Linked DNA regions of Mus musculus. The protein of the gene in region 2 purifies or fractionates together with the protein of the main gene of each other region. This does not show direct contact. Links are inferred from orthologs where the notes say so. Each region holds a gene or a part of one and is shown on either strand. Other genes may lie near its edges.

Region 1 (10,096 bases), on a different chromosome or scaffold from region 2:
AACACATGCTTAGAGGTTTAACAGCTGAGCATGAAAGTTCAAGGCAGCCTGTACCACCTCATACTCAACTTCCATGCTAGGGTAACAACTATCCTACAGGTCAGGGAGGGTACAAGCAATCAGCTCTATCCATCAGCTTTATCCATTAAAATGTTTTGTCTAAGGGGCTAGATTGATGGTGCAGTGGTTTAAGAGCACTGAGGTCTTCCAGAGGACCTGGTTTCAGTTCCCAGGACCTATGGAGTAGCTCACAACCAAAGAGATGCAGCATCCTTTCCTGGCCTCTGGGGACACCAGTAGCATACATGAACCCTATCTATATGTGACTACATATAGACAAAACATGCATATACACTAAATGTAAATCTTAAATATTTTGGAGGGGCTAATTTTGGCCAACTATAAAGCACTAAAGAATAAAGAAAAAATGGATCTCTAAAGGAATAGAAGGTCCCCTTCCCCCCAATCTCCTGTTTCTTTAATCTGCCACATATTACCTGCTTCCCAATACTTAGGCAAGAAGATTAGACTACTTTTGTTTGGAACATAAAATACTTCATCCCTCAGACACCAAGTGCTGGCTTCAGGCATTGTCATCTTTGGCCATCACCGAACTGTCATTCTGGCAGCGTTTGAGCACATACAAGGCCAGCACGTTTCCCTAAGTGTACAGTGCAGACATGGTTCAGTCACCTGAATCAGTAGTTTGCGGTCTTCCTCTATATTTTTGTGTGTAGTTTCTTGTTCCTGCTTCTGTTCAGTTTTCATTGGTACATTGATATTAACCCTCAATTTCTTACTGTCAAGATAACAGAGGAAACAGGTCATTGAAAAGTCTGCTTCCTGTCTTTCAACTACACGTTTTGCATCCCTGGACTGGGCAGGTGGTTCACACCCATCTCTTCTATATCATTTCTCATCATTTCTACTGCTACCTGCGAACTGCCCCTCCACCAATGCTATGTAATTTTACCACAGAGGGATGACTGAAGTGACACTTGACCCCTCAATTTAGTGAATTGTAATAACACCAAAATAACTTGATATAAAGGTCTAAACATGCCATATGAGCCACTCAAGACTTATTTTCAAGATAAAGAAAATCAAACTCAGCATTAAAAGCAGAGTCCAGTTCCCCTGGCTCGTGCCGATCCTGAAGTAGGCCAGTGCCAGGGGATAAGACCAGCAGCTACATGTTAGATTTTTCTTACTTTTTATAACCAAGATATAACTTTATTAAGGTGTCTGGCTTCAATTCCACCTCATCAACATTGGCATTTTCATCTTCTAAGACCTAGAAGAAAATAACTGTTACTAGGCACATCCTAGGGAAAGGGTGTCTTCTAGCTCAACACAAAGTATACAAACATACCAGCAATTTCGACTTCAGTAAAATCTGTAGGACTTGTGCCAAAATGTCCTGCAATCAGAGAAAGATGGTAAGCAAGGAGGAAGAATACTTCTTTACAGTGCCTGTCCCAGAGGCCCAGCCTCACAGAAATGGTCATCACCTCAAAGCAGAACTAGTCAGAGAAAGTGACATGGCTTGTTCTTTATGGCCTGAAGCACCCACTATTCAAAGGCAATAATAATGCAGTTTCCCACAAACACTGGACACAATATATGGCCTGCTTCTTCAATGAAACCTACAGGAAATGATTCACTTCTTCGATGTCTGAAGGTTCATAAGACATTTATGTGGTGCTGTGGATCAAACCCAAGGCTTTGTGTGCCAGGCAAGTGTTCTACCAGTAAACTACACCCCTGAACATGCGAACGAAGCAGTAAGGAGCTTCAGCAGAACCAAAGTTGCACTGCATTCATGAACATGCTGAGACTTGGAGGCAGCTGACTTGCTGCCAACTTGGCTTTAGTTGGCAATTCAGTGCATCATATGACCTCTGTAGTTATTAGCTGCTCTGGTGATTTCCAGAACCATCAAGCCTCATGGCATGGGGACTTAACTTTCTCACCTGCACTCTTAACCAAGGCTCCCATGCTGTCAGAGAAGTGACAGCTATGCACTGGGGTCTGGAGGAGGGCAGCTAAAGACCCATAAGGTAATTCTAGTAATACAAAGAAGTAGAAAGATTGGTGTGGCATCGAGGAGAAGGCCAAGCAGAGACTAGAGAGGCAGACCTGTCAACCCTTCCAACCAGCCAGCAAAAAAAAAAAAAAAAAAGTAGGTTTCATTGAAATTTAAAAAAAAAAAATGCATGTACAGCAGTGTACCCATCAGTAAGTACACATGTCAACTAAAAAATTAAATGGGGGCAGGGACCACTTCTTAACTGGTGGAGTACTTGGCTAGCATGCCCAAGGCCCTGGATTCAATCTCCTGCACTGCATAAAAACGGGTGTGGAGCATGCCAGTAATCTATCACAGATACACAGATGTATGTACAAAGACAGGACAGTAAGTTAGTTTAAGGCATTCTCTACCTACTCAGTGAATCTGAGGTCATCCTAGAGTACAGGTGACTATTTCAACAACAGCAACAGAAAATCCCAACCAAACAAAAAATAAAGTGAATGAGGAAAGTTAAAAAATCTTTTATCTGCTTCCCAGCACTCACGTGAAAGCTCAGCCTTGTCTGGAGTGCTATGGGGAATAAATGAGTGAATCCCCAAGTCTTACTGCTGTGCAGCCTAGCTGAATGGATAAGCTCCAGATTCACTGACAGACGCTGCTTCAAAGAAAGAATGACATGTGCACCACAGTGACATCTACTTCTAGTCTCCAACACGTGAATACAAACAAGTACATATATCTACACACACACACACACACACACACACACACACACACACACACACACACACAGAGATAGAGACAGAGACAGACAGTGACTGACTGGGTTTAAAACAGCATTTCAAGGGACAGTGGTGGTAGCACACACCATTAAGCCTAGCACATGGGAGGTAGAGTCAGGCAGATCTCTCTGAGTTCATAGCCAGCATGGATTACAAAGAGAGTTCCTGGATAGCCAGGGCTACACAGAGAAACCCTTAAAAAAAATAGAGCATCTCACACTGTCCTTATAATGCTGACAAAAGAGAGCATTTCTTAACACCCTTATGAAACTGGCATAAAGGTTTATAAGGACACAGCTGGAACTGGCCACCACCATCACAGGTGCTGGCCACCATGCCTGCCTGAGAACCCATGTTTTCTCCAAAACAATTTGCTTAAATACTATAAAGTTATAAAGTCGTGATAGTGGCACATGGAGCTTTACACCCTAGACCTTAGTACCACCAGTACCAGGAATGTGCTGGATGCTCCTCACACAAGTTTGAGACTAGTCAGGTTAACTTTTGGCTCAAGTGAACCTTGCCCATTATATAAACTTCTCTGACTCAACCATGAGAACTCAGTGGTCCTGTTGGCATCCAAGGTGTCAGACACCCCAGTGAAATGCTCTCTGTGGATCTATCTGGCCTGGTCTTCTGGTGCCTTGGTCAGAGTTTACTGCTTTTACTTTTTTCTCCATGCTGCTAACATCTAGTAAGCCAAAGAAACCCATGTCCTCTCCCCCTTTCCACAACATCCCAATGAACAAAGAAGAGGCAGCTTGAGAGTATAGCGTGAGTACCAAACAGTGGAAATACCATTTTAATCTGAGTGCTGTCAGTCAACTGCTGCACAGTATAGGCGTCTTCTGTGTTATACTGAAGCAGGATTGCCATCTGAAATGTGGACGCCTTCGTGGTCCAGAGGAAAGAAAGAGGAAATGTGAAAACATGGGAAAGGTACAACCTGCTTTCATGAAAAGCATTCTTCAGAGGCAAAAAAGGAGAGGGAATACAAAATGTCACAACCAGGGGAATGGACATTTTTCTTAAAGATACCTTTCAAACACTGAAAAGACTCATTTTTCTCCTGAAATGTACCCTATATAAGCATAAATATATGAGCATACCTATAATATAAACATACACCAGGTATAGAGACATTAATTATAAGTTTAATTTTTATGCATAGTAGAACAAAAATTATTTTGGGGATGCATACCATTTATACATTATGTGTATGTTTAAGTTGCCAGAGACCTCCACACCAGGTATAATGGTTACTTAATTAACTTATCAATGTGGAAGTACAAAGGTTAAACTAGTGAGTAGTTTTCGTCACATACTCTACAGTTTAATTACCATTACCAGCTCACTACTGAGACCTTTTCAAGGAATGAAGTAAGTTTTACTTGTGAAACACACTGAGTACAGAAGTGAGAGTAGAAGGAACCTAGACTTTGAACCACAGTTAACTGGACCCCAGCTTTTGTAGAAATGCAATCAGCCCATAGCTGTTATTACTAGGCACTGCACACTGCTAGACGTGCTAGGGAGTCTTATCACTGTGAGGCTGCAGAGAGCTCTGACTGGAACTAGAGAGTGAAATGTCATCTTTTAAATTTGTCACCCCAGCATGTCATGCAAACCTACCAAACCTATCAAAGATCACTTCTATGGTGTAAGCAAACACTGCTAACTCAGTGGAGGAGAAACCTGAGGCTCAGAGTAAGGAAGTGACTTGCATCTATAGTCAGAGAAAATGAGTTCAGCTCACCTGCCCATGACAAGCATGCTTTACTCCCTACATGGCTTTGTCAGAGAATGAACTGCATCCCACTGCATGAGCTATCTAATTGGGTTTCTATAAGTTGTCTTATCATCAATTAGTACTCAAATATTTTACCCAAATAAAAAGATTTTACCTGCAAAGTGTATCTGTTTTTGAAGCAGTTAGTGACTAGTTCCCCTTTGGACAGTTGATACAACCATGTCAATTTTCTGCCACTGTGACGGCTGGCGTAGAAAGCTGTAAATCGCTGATAACTGCGCTCCAACTAGATGAAAGAACAGCACTATGCGGCATCCATGGCTTTCCATTCTACAGTCAGCATTTCTAAATAAAAGTCCCTGCCCCAAGTTCTGAGAACAAAATCAGTGCTTACAGAGAAGTGAACTACAAATGCCGGGGACCGTCTCGTGAACACTTTAAGACTGCAGAGTGAGTACCAAAGCAGGTTTCTACCTCATGCCCAGTAGGTACATCAAGAGTTTACCATGTAACCAGTGAGACTCTGCTTGTCGGGAATAAGTCAACACTGTTTGCTGCAACAGAGAGCCTTTCGCTATTTAACACAGGCCCATTTCACATTCCCCACAAACAGTGCACTGACTGCTTACACAGCACTTCGGTCAGCACACTAAGGTCAGGCAGCCCTTTTCCCTCTTGCCAGCTGAAAGAGACCAAGAAACAAAACCAAAACTATCCTTACCTCTGACGGCAAGGCAAACGTGCAAGACTGCTGAAAGGGCCACGATCCAGAACTCAGGACCTGAATACTGAAGTCCACTGTGGGAAGGAACACATTTAATTACTCTACAAATTTTAAAATTCTATTGTTACACACACACACACACACACACACACACACACACAAGAAATAGTCAAAAGATTTAAAAATTCATTACAAGTCTAGTAGGCTACACATACACAGTGAGATGTCCTAGATCAAAACTTCAAACCAAAGGTTGAAGAACCTAGCAACTGTTGTCCTCCAGGGCAATGGTTTTCCACTTTACTGTCAATATAGAGTTTCTAAGCTGATCTGCCTTGATCAATTTTATTTTTTCCCCTTCTGGATATGAAGTTCAGCATGCACAAGCAATGGATGGTGACCAGGAATGATTGATTTAACAGACCCAAATACAAGAAAATGGAAAGCACAAGAGCAAAGCACTACCTCCACCACAACTTGTGTACCATGTACTACTGTCAAGACCGACAGTAGAGACTTCTGGAACCTATTAATTAGGACACTTTCATTTTCACAGATAACGTAGATGTCCATTAGCAATACAAGCTTAATGATGACAGCAATTTTGATTTGGGAAGAATAAAATTCTCCAACTTTCTTCAAAAACAAGTAAGAGAGAGAAGAAAGAAATGTATTCAAACTCAGGTTCAAAGGCACAACAAGCCCATGGATCAGCACAGAGCGAGGCAGACCTGACTGGTCTCACTCAGCAAAGCTGCCACCATCCCATCTGGGTGTCAGGAGGAGGAGAGAGCACTTGGAAGGAAACGCCTGCTTCTAAGTCTTGGAAACTCTGACCCCATTTACCACCCTCACTCCGTATTATGTCACTTCTCTCATCTGCTACCAAGAGCCCAAAGAGCCCTGCTATGAGCACTCAGTACTCACAGTCCAGCGGTTCTGAATTCGTCAGGTGTTTTTTGAACTGTTCATTCAGATCTTTGCTTACACCAATGTCTTGAAACATTCGCTGAAGTTTGGAAGTGTACTCAAAACCACAAGCTTGCTGAAATAAACCCAGGCAACTGTCTCATTAATTTGTATAGAAACATGAATGTATGCAATGCATATAAGGGATTTTTAGAGAAATCACAATACAATATATTTTTTCTTAAGTTCTTTGAAGCTATTACTAAGATTTAGTCATATCTTATGGCATAAATATATACAGATTAAAGTTTTATGTTCTAAAAGACCATTAAAAGTTGGACAATTGGGTCTTCAATATGCAGTAAACATATTGCAGCATTTAAAGCTGCAATTTAAAGAGATTACGATAGGAAATAATTTAGAAACAGGTGGAATGTTGCACATCTGAAAGCACCGTACTCAGCAGGAAGAGGCTAGCCTGGGCTGTCAATGACCCTCAAGCCAAACCCTTCCAATAGCCCAAATAATCTGCTAGTCCCTTATTCTACCACTAAACTGTCTTTTTTTAGAATGTGCCTGCTGAAGTTTAAACCTCTGGTGTGGAGGTATCTGAAGATGAGTCCTTGTGCGTTCATGAGTGTAGGGTGCCTCTTTAAGAGGATGTTACCCTGTGAGTAATGGGCCAAACAGTGGTTGACTGAGAGCCAGGAGAGCCTGCTTCAAAAACAAGATCTAGATTTTTAAGACTTCTGAGTCCCCAGAATGGAGAGTTCATTTCTTTGCCTAAGTTTCCTGGCCCATGGTATTTTGTTTTGGCAGTCTGAGCTAAGAAAACCACTAAGCATTCACACAGAGCCAACAAGGCTGGATGTGTGGGAAGCAGGTGAGGATGTGGCAAAGGTGAGCAGAGCCTGGCCAAGGAAGGGCTACATGGAACAGAAGAACCCTAAACAGGGTGGCAGAGGAAGGAAAGCACCGGAGGCCTGGCTGGAAAGCAGGTCTCACACTGCACGAACCAAGTCAATAAACCCTGAGGAAATTGGGATTCTCCAGGAAAAGAATAGTACCTTTAACTTGGAGATCATGCTTGCTTCAGCATCGTCACTCGCACTGTTTTGATGTACCAGTCTCTTGGCAAGCATCTTTGCATAGAACTTCTGAAATACATCTTTGTCCTCGATGTACTTGAAGACCACCATCTGGCAAAGCCAGGGAAAGAACACCTTAGTGAAACTAACTCACAAGCCCATTTGTCTCTAGCTACCTCCAGGAGCTGCTTGGTTTTGGGTGGGCCTATGTTCTAACCTGGCACAAACTCACCCTGAAATGTTCACAATAAATAGCGCCATCCATTCCTTAAATCCCAGTTGACTGGACTAGACTTAGTAGCAAGAAGCAAAGTACTAAGGCTGGAGAAATGGCTCAGAGGATTAGGGTACTTGCTGTTCTTGCAGAGGACCTGAGTTCCATTCCTAGCACATGGTGGCTCACAACCATCTCTAGTTCCAGGAGATAGAACACCCTTCTGACTTCCTCAGGCACAAGCACACATGTAGTACATATACATACATGTACACAGGCAAAACACTCATATGCATACAATAAAATAATCTTTGAAAATTTAAAACAAAAAAGAAGCGAAGTACCAACATTAAAAGTAAAATTTAGGAGTAAAACCATAAATTCGAAATCAAAATACTTATGACTTTGCATATTTCAGGCCCAATATAAAAAGAGCCTTACAAAGGGCAATGGGTGTGGCCATGAAACACCTTACCACTTGATTGAGGGTGTCTTCTAGTTCTGCCTCTTCTGGGTTCTTGGAACTGAAATTTAAAAGGGCAAGGTGTTTACAAACAAGCAAGCAGACATGCACACATACCACTCTGCCAAACTAGCAGTATCCCACGTGGCTTCAAGTATTTAATAATGAGTTCTCAGATCAGCTGGTGAGCTAGGGGAGGTCACTTTCCTCTCCTAAGGCAATCTGGCAGCCTCACATTGTACCCCATCATGGAAGAGATTACAAAATAGCCACTAGGATATCTAAGATGAAAACTGACAGAAGTTAATTATAATATTATGAAGTTTCCCTTCAAGACAACCCATTTAAATATCAGTAAGTGAGCTGCATTCTTACAATTGCTCCCTACAATCTGAGATAGCAAGTGACCTTACCCAATGTTTCCCCACCACGTACAAAGCAGGTAACACAATTCTCCCAATAGTGAGCTGTTTCGGTTTTGCTACTGATCTACGCCCACAGTCTGAAGATGCTGCATGGCCTACCTTTTGTACAATTATTTTCCAGCTCACTGATGATGACTTGTTAACTTAAAAAATAAAAAGGGTTTATGTGTATGTGTGTATGCCTGCTTGTCTGTATGAGCACCACATATACACACAGGAACCTATGCAGGCCAATAGAAGGCATCAGATTCCCTGGAACTGGAATTACAGATGTTTGTGAGCTGCCCAATTGGATACTAGGAAGTAAACCCAGGTCCTCTACAGGAACAGCAAGTGTCTTTAACAGCTGATCCATTGCTCAGGCTCTGAGAGTTAAACTGTCATTGTTTACATTGTGGGTATTTTCTTAGCCTTAGAGAGCTTTATAAAATATATTGACATCAGAATCAGTAAAATTTGGGGACCTATGCCCCCTTCATAGCATTTGGTGATGTGGTTTGTGGGACAGAGGCAAACCTTGAACATTGCAGGAATGAAACTGTGACGGGGAGAGAAGCTAAGGGAACATAACGAAGAGGAGGCAGCCAAGCCTAATTATACAGCTTGCTTCTAGCTCTGAATACAGCTAAGAAGATTAGGAAAATGTCAGGTGAGTAGATGGTGACTTGAAAATGAAGTGTATGTAGCACCAACAAATGACCAAATAAGAACAAAACTTTAAAATAGTCACATGGCTGAATTTGGTGGTGTGCTCTATATACCCAGTATGTGGAAAGCTGTGGGTAGGAGGACTGCTGGGAGTTTTGAGGCTAGCCTGAGCTACACAACAGCTCTGTCAAATGTAGACCAACACATAATCCATATTGTAGTATTCAGTTTTCTCCGACTGTTCAGAAAGCCAGTGGGAGTTGATGCAGGTTTCAACAATGTAGTGCAATACAAGTAAATGTAATGCAACTACTGACCCCTTGTATTAAACTCAAGTTTAAATAGGGTCCTAGGAAAATATAATACCAGGTCAGTACCTTTTCTTCAGCAAGGAGTCACAGTACCGAGCAAGCAGCTCAGGGGATTTACTGGATGACTGGGCCATTTTGGTAACCGCATTGTTGTTTATGAAGCGACCACAAGCCTGTGTATATAAAAGACAGTTAGTTAAAGGTGTCCTGTACCTACATACTCAATAGGCATCTCAGTGACATACTTACCTTATCAAGAGCAGCTACGAAGCCAGCATCGTTGTTGAATGCTGACATCACCAGGGCATTGTATTTTTTATGAACATCCAGCACTGTCTGCACATACATCTTGGGGTCCTTAGGTAGAGGGAAAGCCAAAACAAACAATTAAAAACACACATTTCATGCTGCTGTAAAACGTTCTACAAGTTTTAACTACATCTTCAAAGAAGTTAATATGATCAGAAATACTTTTGGTTCCATCACTAAAACACACAGGACATTATGTTTCCATGTAAAACAAAATAATTCTTCAAATTAAAAATTAAATTCCTTAAAAAAAAACTTGAAAAGATCATGAAATTAGTTTTTATCAAACGACAGGTCTGAACACAGATGGGGACACACAATGGAAACTGTGTGGCCAAGGTCAGGGACAAGCACTGGGAACTCGGGGTGTGGGCGACAGGGACCCTTCAGACAAAAGAAAATATCGGAAGATGCTAAAGGGGACAGTACTGGTAGATACAG
Region 2 (11,207 bases):
ATGGCATAAAGATGGCACATCTCCCAATGTTTGGCTGGCCTCTTTAAAAAATTAAGAGTTCGCCCTAGGTCGTCTGGCAGTTGTAGTCACACAGATCCACAGTATCCAGTGACAGGCAACTTTCCTTATGCACAGACCAACCTAAGACATGGGGCCTGGAGGCGATAGGGTAACCCTTGGACGGGTAAGGCCGTGACATGAAAGGATCGACCTAAGACAGGAGACGTGGCCGATGAACAGACTTGCCCAGACCTAGTCCAGCATCATATTATTAAACAAAAAAGGGGGAGATGTAGGCAGCTGGCGCCTAAAAGATGGCGCCGGTCTCTGGTACACCGGTCTCTGGTACACCATCACCGTAAACAACAGCACTACGCAGGCGCTAGCCCGAATCTGACGCCAACCCCTCCCGAACGGGTGCATGCAAATTAAGGTGCCAGCAGACTGACCAATCCCAGGAGGACACAAAGCTTTTCCCTGTGCTGGGGTGTATATAAGGAGTCCTCCCTGGGTTCCCGTAGCATCGAGGCGTTCCTGGAATAAAGCTGTTGAGAAGAATCTGACCGTTTTGTGTTTTCCTTGCCGGACGAGGTGGGCACAACATCCACTCATCTCCAATCCCTTTGTATCTGCCCTGTACTCTTGCAACCTCCCTCCCCCACAAAAGAAAATAACAAAATGAAAAATCTGGTCATGGAAGTTGTAGTGTGTCCCAAAGTATACCCTTCTGTCCACACATCTTTACTTGCAAATGTTCATTGCAATGAGTCATTGGTCTGGTTTCTGCTACTCACTATCAATACCGGATCCTTACTGAGACTCCTTTTGTAGCCCTATCCCATGTCAAAGAGGTCCTGCAGCTTCATGGACTCCAGCAGTTTAGAGAAGCGGTAGATCCTGGGGTGGGACAACCCTGGCTCTGGGCCTGGGTGGTAGCTGAGTTGGTGAAGCTGTCTGTTCTCTAGCACTCACATCATAACAGTGAGCTCTTCAGTACTGGCCCTGTTATCTCACCCAACCTCTCAGCTGTGGAAAACCTTTGGGGGACCGCTTAGCAGGAATCTGACATTCACCAAGGACAAGGAAATGGGCTTCAGGCAGGAATCTGACGTCGTTAGGACGTGACAAGGAAGTAAGCTCAGGCAGGAATCTGCACATATTTGTACTTCTTAGTGGCTCCTGTGGTGGGTGAACCGTTGTGCCTCTCAGATCTGGTTCTTAATACTGAAAGTCCTGCTGCTTTGTGTCCAATCCTGAAGACAGTATGATGAGAGTGTGATTGGGACAGAGGAGGAGGGCACAGTCTCCCTGGGTCACTGAGCAGGTGTTGAGCATCCTTAAAGCACTGAGATGGTTCAGGAGGTAAAAGGGGAAGAACTAACTCTTGTAAATTGTCCTCTGACCTCCACACATGCATCATGGTATGTACACACAAACACACACTTTTTATTATGTGTCTAGGTGTTTTTTTCTTGCATGCATATCTATGTATTACTTGCATTCCTGGTACCCAGACCAGAAAAGGGTGTCAGATCCCCTGGGACTGGAGTTACAGACACTGTGAGCTACCATGTGGGTGCTGGGAATTTAACTTGGGTCCTTTGAAAAAGTATCCAGTACCCTTAACTGCTGAGCTTTCTCTCTAGCCCTTAAAGTTTAATTTAAAGAAAAGCACTGTCAGACTAGTAAAAATCATTATTAGTGCTAATGATAAGTTATTTAAATCCTTACTGAAAGCTACCTGTCTAATATTCACTTCATATGAATAAGAAGCTGGGGGAATGTGACAATTTTGACTCCCTAATTAACAACTGTTGGGTTCTGCCTTGCACCCTCAATGCCTTAAGCAAAGAAACTATTAGTCAAATAGCTAGTCGATACTACCCTTACGCCAGCGCCTTGAACACTCCGAGGATGCCTTGAAAAGAATGCACAATTGCAGATGATTGCCCCAGATCCAGAAGGTACAACCCATCAGGGTTCTAAGACACAGCTTGTACCAGATTCCTGGCTATCCCAAGCATTAGTGAAATTAGATGACCTTGAAATTAGATGACCTTGAAACTATTAGTGAAATTAGATGACAGGTGGGGCACTTCTTGAGCCTCAAAGCTTCTCTGACTGCTATGACTGGTTCAAAGGAGAAAGGCTGAGATTGGCCCAAACATAAACTTTCATAATTGTGACTGATTCAGTCCCTTCTCTGGCTGTGTAATCAAGAGTGTTGCAATCAAGTCACTCAGATGACTGGGATTGGCTGGGAGACAGTGTCCTACACCTCTCCCCCTCCTGTTGCAACATTAAGCCTAGTAAAAAGCCTGTCTCACCAGTGATCCCACCAACTCTCAGTACCGTGAACTGGTTACACAGACAGCAGAGAAAGGCTTACTGATGGCAGATGGGAAACTCATGGTGGCAGCAAGAGAATCAGTCAGCATGGAAAACTTAGAAAGTGACAGCTGGAGCAGCAGCAGAGAGGCTTCAGAGTGGTCAGGAATGGAGGAAGGACAGAAGAAATAGAAAGCAAGAGAGGGCTGAAGAAGAAAAGTTTGTAACAACTGAGAAGGGAGACTGTGGGTCCTGCTCACCTCCCCAACCCGGAAAGGAGACCTTGAGCTCTTGATTATGCTACCTCTGCCTCTAAAGTGCTGGGAGTATGCACCCGGGCCACTATCTCTAGCTTGGTTGTCAAGTCTTTAAAGCCAAGATTCTCAGGGATTGTGGGCCAAGAGTTGCAACACTAGCAGGCGTTAAGGGCTAAGGAATTAGATCTACAGATCTAAGAGATCTAATTAGATCTAAGAGACCAGACACCCAAGGCTTGTATAAGAACTGTTAACTCCTTCTCCCTTTCCTCCTAGCATTTGCCCTTCTCGCCTTGTTGCTCTGGCGGCTGCTGTAAAACAAGGGAAAACAGGGCAGGTGAGATGGCTCAGTGGGTGAGAGCACTGACTGCTCTTCTGAAGGTCTTGAGTTCAAATCCCAGCAACCACACGGTAGCTCACAACCGCCTGTAATGAGACCTGACGCCCTCTTCTGGTGCGTCTGAAGACAGCTACAGTGTACTTATTTATAATAACAAATCTTTGGGACTGAGCGAGCGCCGGTCTCACATAGGGAGCGGGGTTGACCGGAGTGAGCAGAGGTCCTAAATTCAATTCCCATCATCCACATGAAGGCTCACAACTACAGCGTACTCATACGCATAAAATAAATAACTCTTAAAAAAAACCCTAGCCGGGCGTGGTGGCGCACGCCTTTAATCCCAGCACTCGGGAGGCAGAGGCAGGGGGATTTCTGAGTTCGAGGCCAACCTGGTCTACAAAGTGAGCTCCAGGACAGCCAGGGCTACACAGAGAAACCCTGTCTCGAAAACCCAAAAAAAAAAAAAAAAAAAAAAAAAAAACCCAAGGGAAACAAAAGCTTTAAATAGGAAAAACAAAAACAAACAAACCAAAAACTGGGCAATGATGGCGCACACCATTCATTAGTCCCAAGCTATTGGGAGAGGCAGGCAGATCTTTGAGTTCAAGACCAGCTTGGTCTACAGAGCGAGGTCCCGGTCAGCCAGAGTTACAGAAAAACCTTGTCCCATCAAACAGACAGGCAAAGCTTTCACACAGCAGCATTTATAGAGCTTCTTGCTTACCACTTCTATCTGGGGGGACTAAAGGCTTCACGCTAGTTAGCTGATATGTAACAAGCGCTTCGGAGAACAGCTGTCTCCGTGGCTAAGTGGCCACGTTTGGACAGCGTGCATGTATGTCCTGGGATTCGAGCTTAACCCAGCCCCTACCCAACTCCCTTACCATGTTTTGTCCTTGCTTCCTGCAGTATACTTTGTTATTTGTCCTGTCTTCCTCCTACGACTAGACATAGACCTCGCGCAGTTAGGGATTTGTTCAGCTGTGTCAGAATCGTGTTTGGGAGGTGCCAGGTGTCAATGGGCTGTTTGAATATCGTCACATGTGGATTTGGAGCCTTAGCCCTTTCTCTCCTGTGAAATATTACCCTAACTTGGTTAAAAAAAAAAAGTAGATGAGGAAAATAAACATTGTGCAAATCTAGAGGTCCACCTTGCTCAGGATCATAAGGTGTAAGCGCAGACGGTGGTACAGCACATGTTCGGCCCTTTTCCACAGTCGGGGCCATTCTTTCCCAGGTACTTGGAGGGCAGAGACGGAAGTAGAGCCGCTTCCGCCCGACGCTGGGCGCCGGAATGGCGCGCGGAGATGACGCAGCAGCACCGGAAGCCGCTCCCCTGTGAGGCTGCGGACCCAGAGCAGCGGCCGTAGGTCCAGGTCTGTATTTGCGATTGGCCGGGCCGGGCTGGACAGGAATCCCCAGCGCCCGCGGCGTTACTGACCCGCCGCCCCGGCCTGTTTTCTCCCTTTCCCCGCAGGCGCCATGGCTGTGGAGCGGACCCGGCCGCTGCGACGCTCTGGCGGCCCGAGCGCGCCTAGTCGGTGTGAGCCCGGCGCGAGGTCCCGGGCCCCGGGGCGCTCGCTCAGGTCAGTGCCGCGCGGAACACGGCTCCAGGAGCAGGGGACCAAGGGAGTCACGAACGGGCTGAGAGACTCGGAGTTAATTTTAGACAGGAAAATTAGAGCTAAGAGTTCCTGCCTTCTGGTGCTTCGGTTTTTCCTAGCCGCGAAACGAGTTAACATTGATGCCCCAAGGCTAGCACTTTAATTAATTAAAGATGATGAAATGTGGACAGGTGGTTTATAAAATGCAGAACGTAGTAGTATGTGTAGGAAGGCACCATGCTTGTGTGTATGCCTTGAAAACAGGTGTGTATTTGAGATGATGCTTCTTTTTAAAAGGGGAGAAATGACAGTATTAGTACTACATTATAACAGTAACTGGCATTTATTGTAGGCTTATAGTGTGCCAGATACTGTACAGAACGCTGTTTAACCCTAACAATCTTGTAGGTAAAACAGTACCAGGCGACAGTTTACAAGTGAGGAAATTTGGCTTGAAACACAAGAAATGATTTGCCCATGGTTACCCAACAAGTGAAATTTCAGAGCCCGTGTTTTATAAACATTATTTGTATTCTTTCAAAGGTTTAAAAGATTAGTCTCTAAATTAATGGCTTTTAGGCCAAGGGTGGTTGTGGACTCCAGCAGTCCCAGCACTCCAGTCTTGTGAATTGTGAGACCAGTCTGGGCTTCACTGCAAAAGCCTGTCTCAAAAAACAAAATAAAACAAAAAGCAAAACAAAAAGGAACAGTAAAAACAATTTTCTAAATATCACAAGCAAAAGGAGGAAAAGATCTTTACAATAGTGTAGTCACATGGTTTTAAATACAAAAAGATGTTTTGTTAAAAGGGACTTCATCCCTTTTCTTTCCAGTTCTCTCTTGAAGCAATATTTAATCAGCTTCCTCAATATTCACAGAATACTTTTCTGTACACATAATCCTCTGTGTAGACCAGACTGGCCTCAAACTCACAGAGCCTGCTTCTGCCTCCGAGGGCTGGGATTAAAGGCATGTATCACCACGCCTGGCCTACCTTTTAACTGGTTGTGAAAGGGGAGGCAAGGAGACAACCTTCCCAACAACAATGAGTATTTATTTTTTGTTCTTTAAAAAAATGATTTTTAGTGTGTCTATATGTCTGTGTCTATGTAGGATGTTGGAGGGAGCATGTATATGCCAGTGTGTGCGTGCGTGGTTTTGCATACAGCTTTATGGAGTCAGTTTTCTCCCCCCAAATTTACGTGGGTTTTGGGTATCCAACCCAGGTCATCAGGCTTTTCAGTAAGCACTTCATCTCACAGGCCTGAAGCCTTGATTCCTTACCTGCATAGGTTATGCAGACTAGAAGGAGGGAAAACATTGAGTTTACACCCATAATGCCTTGCCTGTAGAAGATGCAGGTGGAGATTGGGTACTACTGAGCTGCTGCTCCTGTGTAACTCTGGTTGAGCCACCCTGCCTCTTGGGCCCTAGCCTCTTTGTTGGTAAGGGCAGTAGTATTGACTTCTTCTATGAACCATGTTAGAATCAAGCGTGATATTTTTAGGCGCTGCTTCAGTTATTAGGACCAACATAAATATAATTGCTTAGAAGCAGAAACCAAATTCATGCTCTCATCTCCCAATTTAGGAATGTTTATCATACTACACATTTCCTCAGAGCTTTGTGATTGTTTCTGTTGAGGACTGCAGAACAAGTTAAGTGTTTACATTGAGAAGGGTGAGAGGCACAAGATAGCAAGGGGGGTGTGCAGAAAGAAAAGAGCTAAGGAAGCAGTTAGCGGCTTAGATGTGCCGTATCACTGCAGCTTTTCTGATTCGCACACTGCTAAGTTAGAATAGCTTCTGTTTTACAAATGGAAGCTTAGACTTTAGTTGAGCATTCCATGATCACATATTTCCCAGGTTGATCTCTAACTTAGTTATCTTGTAAGGGCAGCCTCTAAGAAGCTAAGATTGTATGTTTCACTGTGCCAGCATCATGGAGATTGTTAATTTGCTTTATCTTACAGGCTACAAGGACCCTCATGGCTCTGTAGGGAACACAGTTAAGAGCTGTCACTAGCTTATGTGAGGCTTATAAAAGCAAACTGTAGCCTTTAGCAATCCATGTTCTAACAGACAGTACTGTAAAGGAATGGAATACCAGAATACCCAAGGCACACAGCTTAGCACACATTTGTTTTTTCTTTCCTCACATCTTTTTGCTTCAACATTTATTGTAGAACCAAATTTTGTGATCTGGGTGGCAGGTCAGGTTGCACCTAGTAGCATAACTGATACAGAGGTCACAGCTCCAGAGATTTGTATATGTTATATGTTGGTGCCATTCTTGTAACTTCCCAAATAGAGTGCATTTAGGAAGTAAATTACTAAGGAGGTAGTTTTGTAATGGTTTGAGTGGAAGGTTGTATGTAGACTAGAATACTCTTTATGAATGAATGTTCTATAAATCTTTTTGGTGACAGTGCATGTGGCATGTGTTAGACTTAAAAAGGAGCAAGTCACACACTAACATGTTCCTCTGACTTGTTTACTATATCATGATTTTTAAAAATATGTTTTCTGCTGGGGAGTGGTGGTTCACACCTTTAATCCCAGCACTTGGGAGGCAGAGGCAGATGGATTTCTGAGTTTGAGGCCAGCCTGGTTTACAGAGTGAGTTCAAGGACAGCCAGGGCTACACAGAGAAACTCTGTCTTGAAACCCCCCCCAAAAAAAAACCCAAAAAAACTGTTTTCTTAGATGTATTTTCTTTTGTGTACATGGGAACTTTCAGATATAGCATATTAACTGTAAAGTAAGCATAAATTTGTAATGCCAATTTTACACTAATTTTTAATACTACATTTATTATCAGTCTTGCTTGAAAAATCTTTTTGAACAGAACTAATATAATATTTTGATGTGCCACAGGTAAATATTTCCATAACCTTATGGAGAGAAAGGACTTTGAGACATGGCTTGATAACATTTCTGTTACATTTCTTTCTCTGACGGACTTGCAGAAAAATGAAACTCTGGACCACCTGATTAGTCTGAGTGGGGCAGTCCAGCTCAGGCATCTCTCCAATAACCTGGAGACTCTCCTCAAGCGGGACTTCCTCAAACTCCTTCCCCTGGAGCTCAGTTTTTATTTGTTAAAATGGCTCGATCCTCAGACTTTACTCACATGCTGCCTGGTCTCTAAGCAGTGGAATAAGGTGATAAGTGCCTGTACAGAGGTGTGGCAGACTGCATGTAAAAATTTGGGCTGGCAGATAGATGATTCTGTTCAGGACTCATTGCACTGGAAGAAGGTTTATTTGAAGGCTATTTTGAGGATGAAGCAACTGGAGGACCATGAAGCCTTTGAGACCTCTTCGTTAATTGGACATAGTGCCAGAGTGTATGCACTTTACTACAAAGATGGACTTCTCTGTACAGGTAAGGAGCCTGGGGGAGTTATGGGGGAGGGGAAGCAGTGCTCTTTCTTTAATAACTTACAAGGGTTAATCCCTTTAAGCTCCTCCCTCTTGAGAAGAGCAAGTGTTGACTACATGGATATTGGGAGTGGCATTTCCTCTGATTAGATGTCCCCATTCCCCTCATGCTCTTCCCCTGGAGAAGAGTCATTTCTATAAAGATTTATGAGAAAAGTTTTAGACATTCTCTCTAGTATAATGTGAATCAGAAAAGTGTAGGCTACTTCTTATTTTCGTTTCTTTAAAACATTTTACACTGGGTGTGGTAGCACATAACCTTTAATCTCAGCACTCAGGAGGAGACAAAGGCAGGCAGATCTTTAAGGTCAAGGCTAGCCTGGTCTACAGAGTAAGTTCCAGGACAGCAAGTGATACACAGAGAAAACCAAAACAAAAATACAAGAAAAAAAAAAACATTTTAGGTCTAGCAAGAACATTTTAGATGAATTGTTTAACCTGTCTGTGTTTGTTTCCTTGCCTTGAAAATAATGGGAAGGGACAAATTCTTTCCTTGCTCAAAAATCCCATGACCCTAAGAATTCGATGTTCAGGGGCTGGCGAGATGGCTCAGTGGTTAAGAGCGCCGACTGCTCTTCCAAAGGTCCCGAGTTCAAATCCCAGCAACCACATGGTGGCTCACAACCATCTGTAACGAAATCTGACTCCCTCTTCTGAAGTCAGCTACAGTGTACTTACATATAATAAAGAAATAAATCTTTAAAAAAAAAAAAAAAGAAAAGAAAAGAAAACATTGACACAACAGTCAAAGAAAATTAAAAAAAAAAAAAAAAAAGAATTCGATGTTCAAAGTTTGGACATGGCAACAAAGACCACTGGATGGTTTTGGGTTTTTGTTTTGTTTTGGTTTTTATGGTTTTTTTTTTTTTTTTAATCTTTTATCGATTGTTTCACATCACTGTGTCCCACTCATCTCCATTCCTTTGAATCCAACCTCTGCTCTTGCTACCTCTCCACAAAAGACAATCTCTCACACACAAAGCATACACATCTCATCATGGAAGCTGTAGGGTGTTATAGTGTATTCTACCATATATCCCTCTGTCCACCCATCTTCACTTGCAAATGTTCATTGCAATGAGTCTTTGGTCTTTGAGGTCTCTGGCTTCTGTTGTGACGGGACTCCTCTTGCAATCCTGTTGTTGCCCCGTATCATGACAATCCTGTAGCTTTAGATCAGCAAGACCAGCCCTTTCAGGTTTTCCAACAGTTGACAGATGATGTAGATTTTGGGGTGGGTCAACTCAAAGCCTTGGATCTGGGCCTGGGTGGTTGCTGGGCTGGTAAGCTTGCCAGCTCTCCCACACCTGCACCACTAGGATGAGCTCTCCAGCACTGCTCCAGATAGGCCACTTATGGTGACAGGAGGCAGGCCAACTCTCCTGCTCTCATACCCTCAGGGCTGGCTTACTTGCATCCAAGTCTCCAGAGCCAGCACCTCTGTGCTGCTCTGTTGAAGCACAGGGCCCAGTCTCCCCAGTGCTAACAGCTGGATGTTTTTTACACTAGGCATTAAGTGTGACGTGCTGTTCTGTACGGTCCAAAGAGTGAGCTACCATAGCAGTGCTTTCAGTATCAGATTTAGCACTTTAGGTATGTAGAATTAATAGAGCAACCTAACTGGGAGAGCAAACATAAGATAACACTATCAAGTAGAGGGCTTACAAACTTTGAGCAGAAATCAACTGGAGAAGCCCACTTGAGACAGCCATCTGGCTTTCCCAATTAAGAGTCCTATAGAGTGAGACTTCTGAGTAAATGGTGTAGCAGATAACATCATCAAATTGGATGCTAACAGCATCCCTAAGAAACTGACTAGGGGGGCTGGTGAGATGGCTCAGTGGGTAAGAGCACCCGACTGTTCTTCCGAAGGTCCGAAGTTCAAATCCCAGCAACCACATGGTGGCTCACAACCATCCGTAATGAGATCTGACTCCCTCTTCTGGAGTGTCTGAAGACAACTACAGTGTACTTACATATAATAAAAATAAATAAATTTAAAAAAAAAAAAAAAAAAAAAAAGAAACTGACTAGGGAAGTTGAGACAGTTTGTTTTTCCAGTTTTCTTTCCAAGCTTCTCAAGGGATAAGCTTGCCTGGCTGAATTTCTGTCTTCACATTCCCACTGCAGGCATTTTTATATTATAACAGTAGTAAGTTTGGTTAGAAATAACTTACTTTCTAGGTATTCTGAAGGATAGTCTTTTAAACACCCTTAGTAGCTGCTTGCTGTTTTTTGTTTTGTTGTTTTTTTTCTTCTCTCAGTTATAGAGCCAGGGGGTCAACTTGTTCTTGAACAAGGTGCCTTGGAGGACACTTGAAGTAAATGTTCTGGATGTCTTAGTCACTTTTCTATTGCTGTGATAACACACTGTGGCAGAGCAACATAAAAGAAGGCATTTAATTTGGGGCTTATGGAGCCGCCAGAGTCTTTGACCATGGCCAGAAGCACAGCAGCAGGCAGACAGGCAAGTACTGTCTGGAGTAGTAGCTGAGAACAGGAGGCAGAAAAAGCTAACTTGGAATGGCTTGGGCTTTTGAAGCCTCAAAGCCCACCCCCAGTGAGATACCTCCTCCAACAAGGCCACACAGAACCCTTTGCAAACAATTCTACCAACCGGGGACCAAGTATCCACTTATGAGAGTAGAGGAAACATTCTTATTCAAACTACTACACTGCAGGGCAGGGCAGGACAGGAGAGCCTTTACTCTCAGAGCTCACTTTCAACATTTTGGGGGTTTTGTTTGTTTGTTTTTTCCAGTTTCTCTGTGTAGTCCTGGCTGGCCTCAAACTCAGAAATCCACCTGCCTCTACCTCCCAAGTGCTGGGATTAAAGGCGTGGCCATCAATACCAGGCTTAGTTTGAGGTTTCTAATGGCAGCATGCATGAGACTTCACAAGTGAGAGAAATATGTGTTAAAAGAATTATGTTTGTCTTTTAAGTATTTTTATGTGCATGTCTGTGTGACCTGGAGAGGCCAGAAGAGTGTCAGATTCCCTAGAGCTAAAGTAAGCCTTTGAGACCTCTCTTCTTGTGAGCAAGAAGCAAACTCAGTCTTCTAGAAGATCACTAGCATTCTTACCCATTGAGTGCTCTGTCCCACTTATTTTGTTTCTTTTTTTTTTTTTTCCTGGTTTTTTGAGACAGGGTTTCTCTGTTTAGCTCTGGCTGTCCTGGAACTCACTCTATAGACCAGGCTGGCCTTGGACTCAGAAATCCGCCTGCCTCTGCCTCC

What was found.
Region 1: the proteins of Fbxw2 (region 2) and Cul1 purify together in Homo sapiens (affinity purification with western blotting; 13 studies listed by BioGRID and IntAct, with this or other methods). This does not show direct contact. The link is inferred for Mus musculus from reciprocal best matches to the Homo sapiens genes FBXW2 and CUL1.

The regions. Positions count from the first base shown.
Region 1 is NC_000072.6:47,514,402-47,524,497, reverse strand, and holds part of Cul1 (cullin-1), read right to left. Parts: intron 9,704-10,096; coding exon 9,596-9,703; intron 9,520-9,595; coding exon 9,413-9,519; intron 8,024-9,412; coding exon 7,975-8,023; intron 7,397-7,974; coding exon 7,265-7,396; intron 6,334-7,264; coding exon 6,216-6,333; intron 5,363-6,215; coding exon 5,286-5,362; intron 4,851-5,285; coding exon 4,719-4,850; intron 3,706-4,718; coding exon 3,613-3,705; intron 1,421-3,612; coding exon 1,373-1,420; intron 1,295-1,372; coding exon 1,212-1,294; intron 800-1,211; coding exon 694-799; intron 1-693. UniProt on the Homo sapiens protein: Core component of multiple cullin-RING-based SCF (SKP1-CUL1-F-box protein) E3 ubiquitin-protein ligase complexes, which mediate the ubiquitination of proteins involved in cell cycle progression, signal transduction and transcription.
Region 2 is NC_000068.7:34,819,266-34,830,472, reverse strand, and holds the start of Fbxw2 (F-box/WD repeat-containing protein 2), read left to right. Parts: upstream 1-4,237; 5' UTR 4,238-4,301; intron 4,302-4,402; 5' UTR 4,403-4,511; exon of another isoform or gene 4,512-4,702; coding exon of another isoform or gene 4,703-4,793; intron 4,794-7,291; exon of another isoform or gene 7,292-7,405; coding exon of another isoform or gene 7,406-7,425; coding exon 7,426-7,915; intron 7,916-11,207. UniProt on the Homo sapiens protein: Substrate-recognition component of the SCF (SKP1-CUL1-F-box protein)-type E3 ubiquitin ligase complex.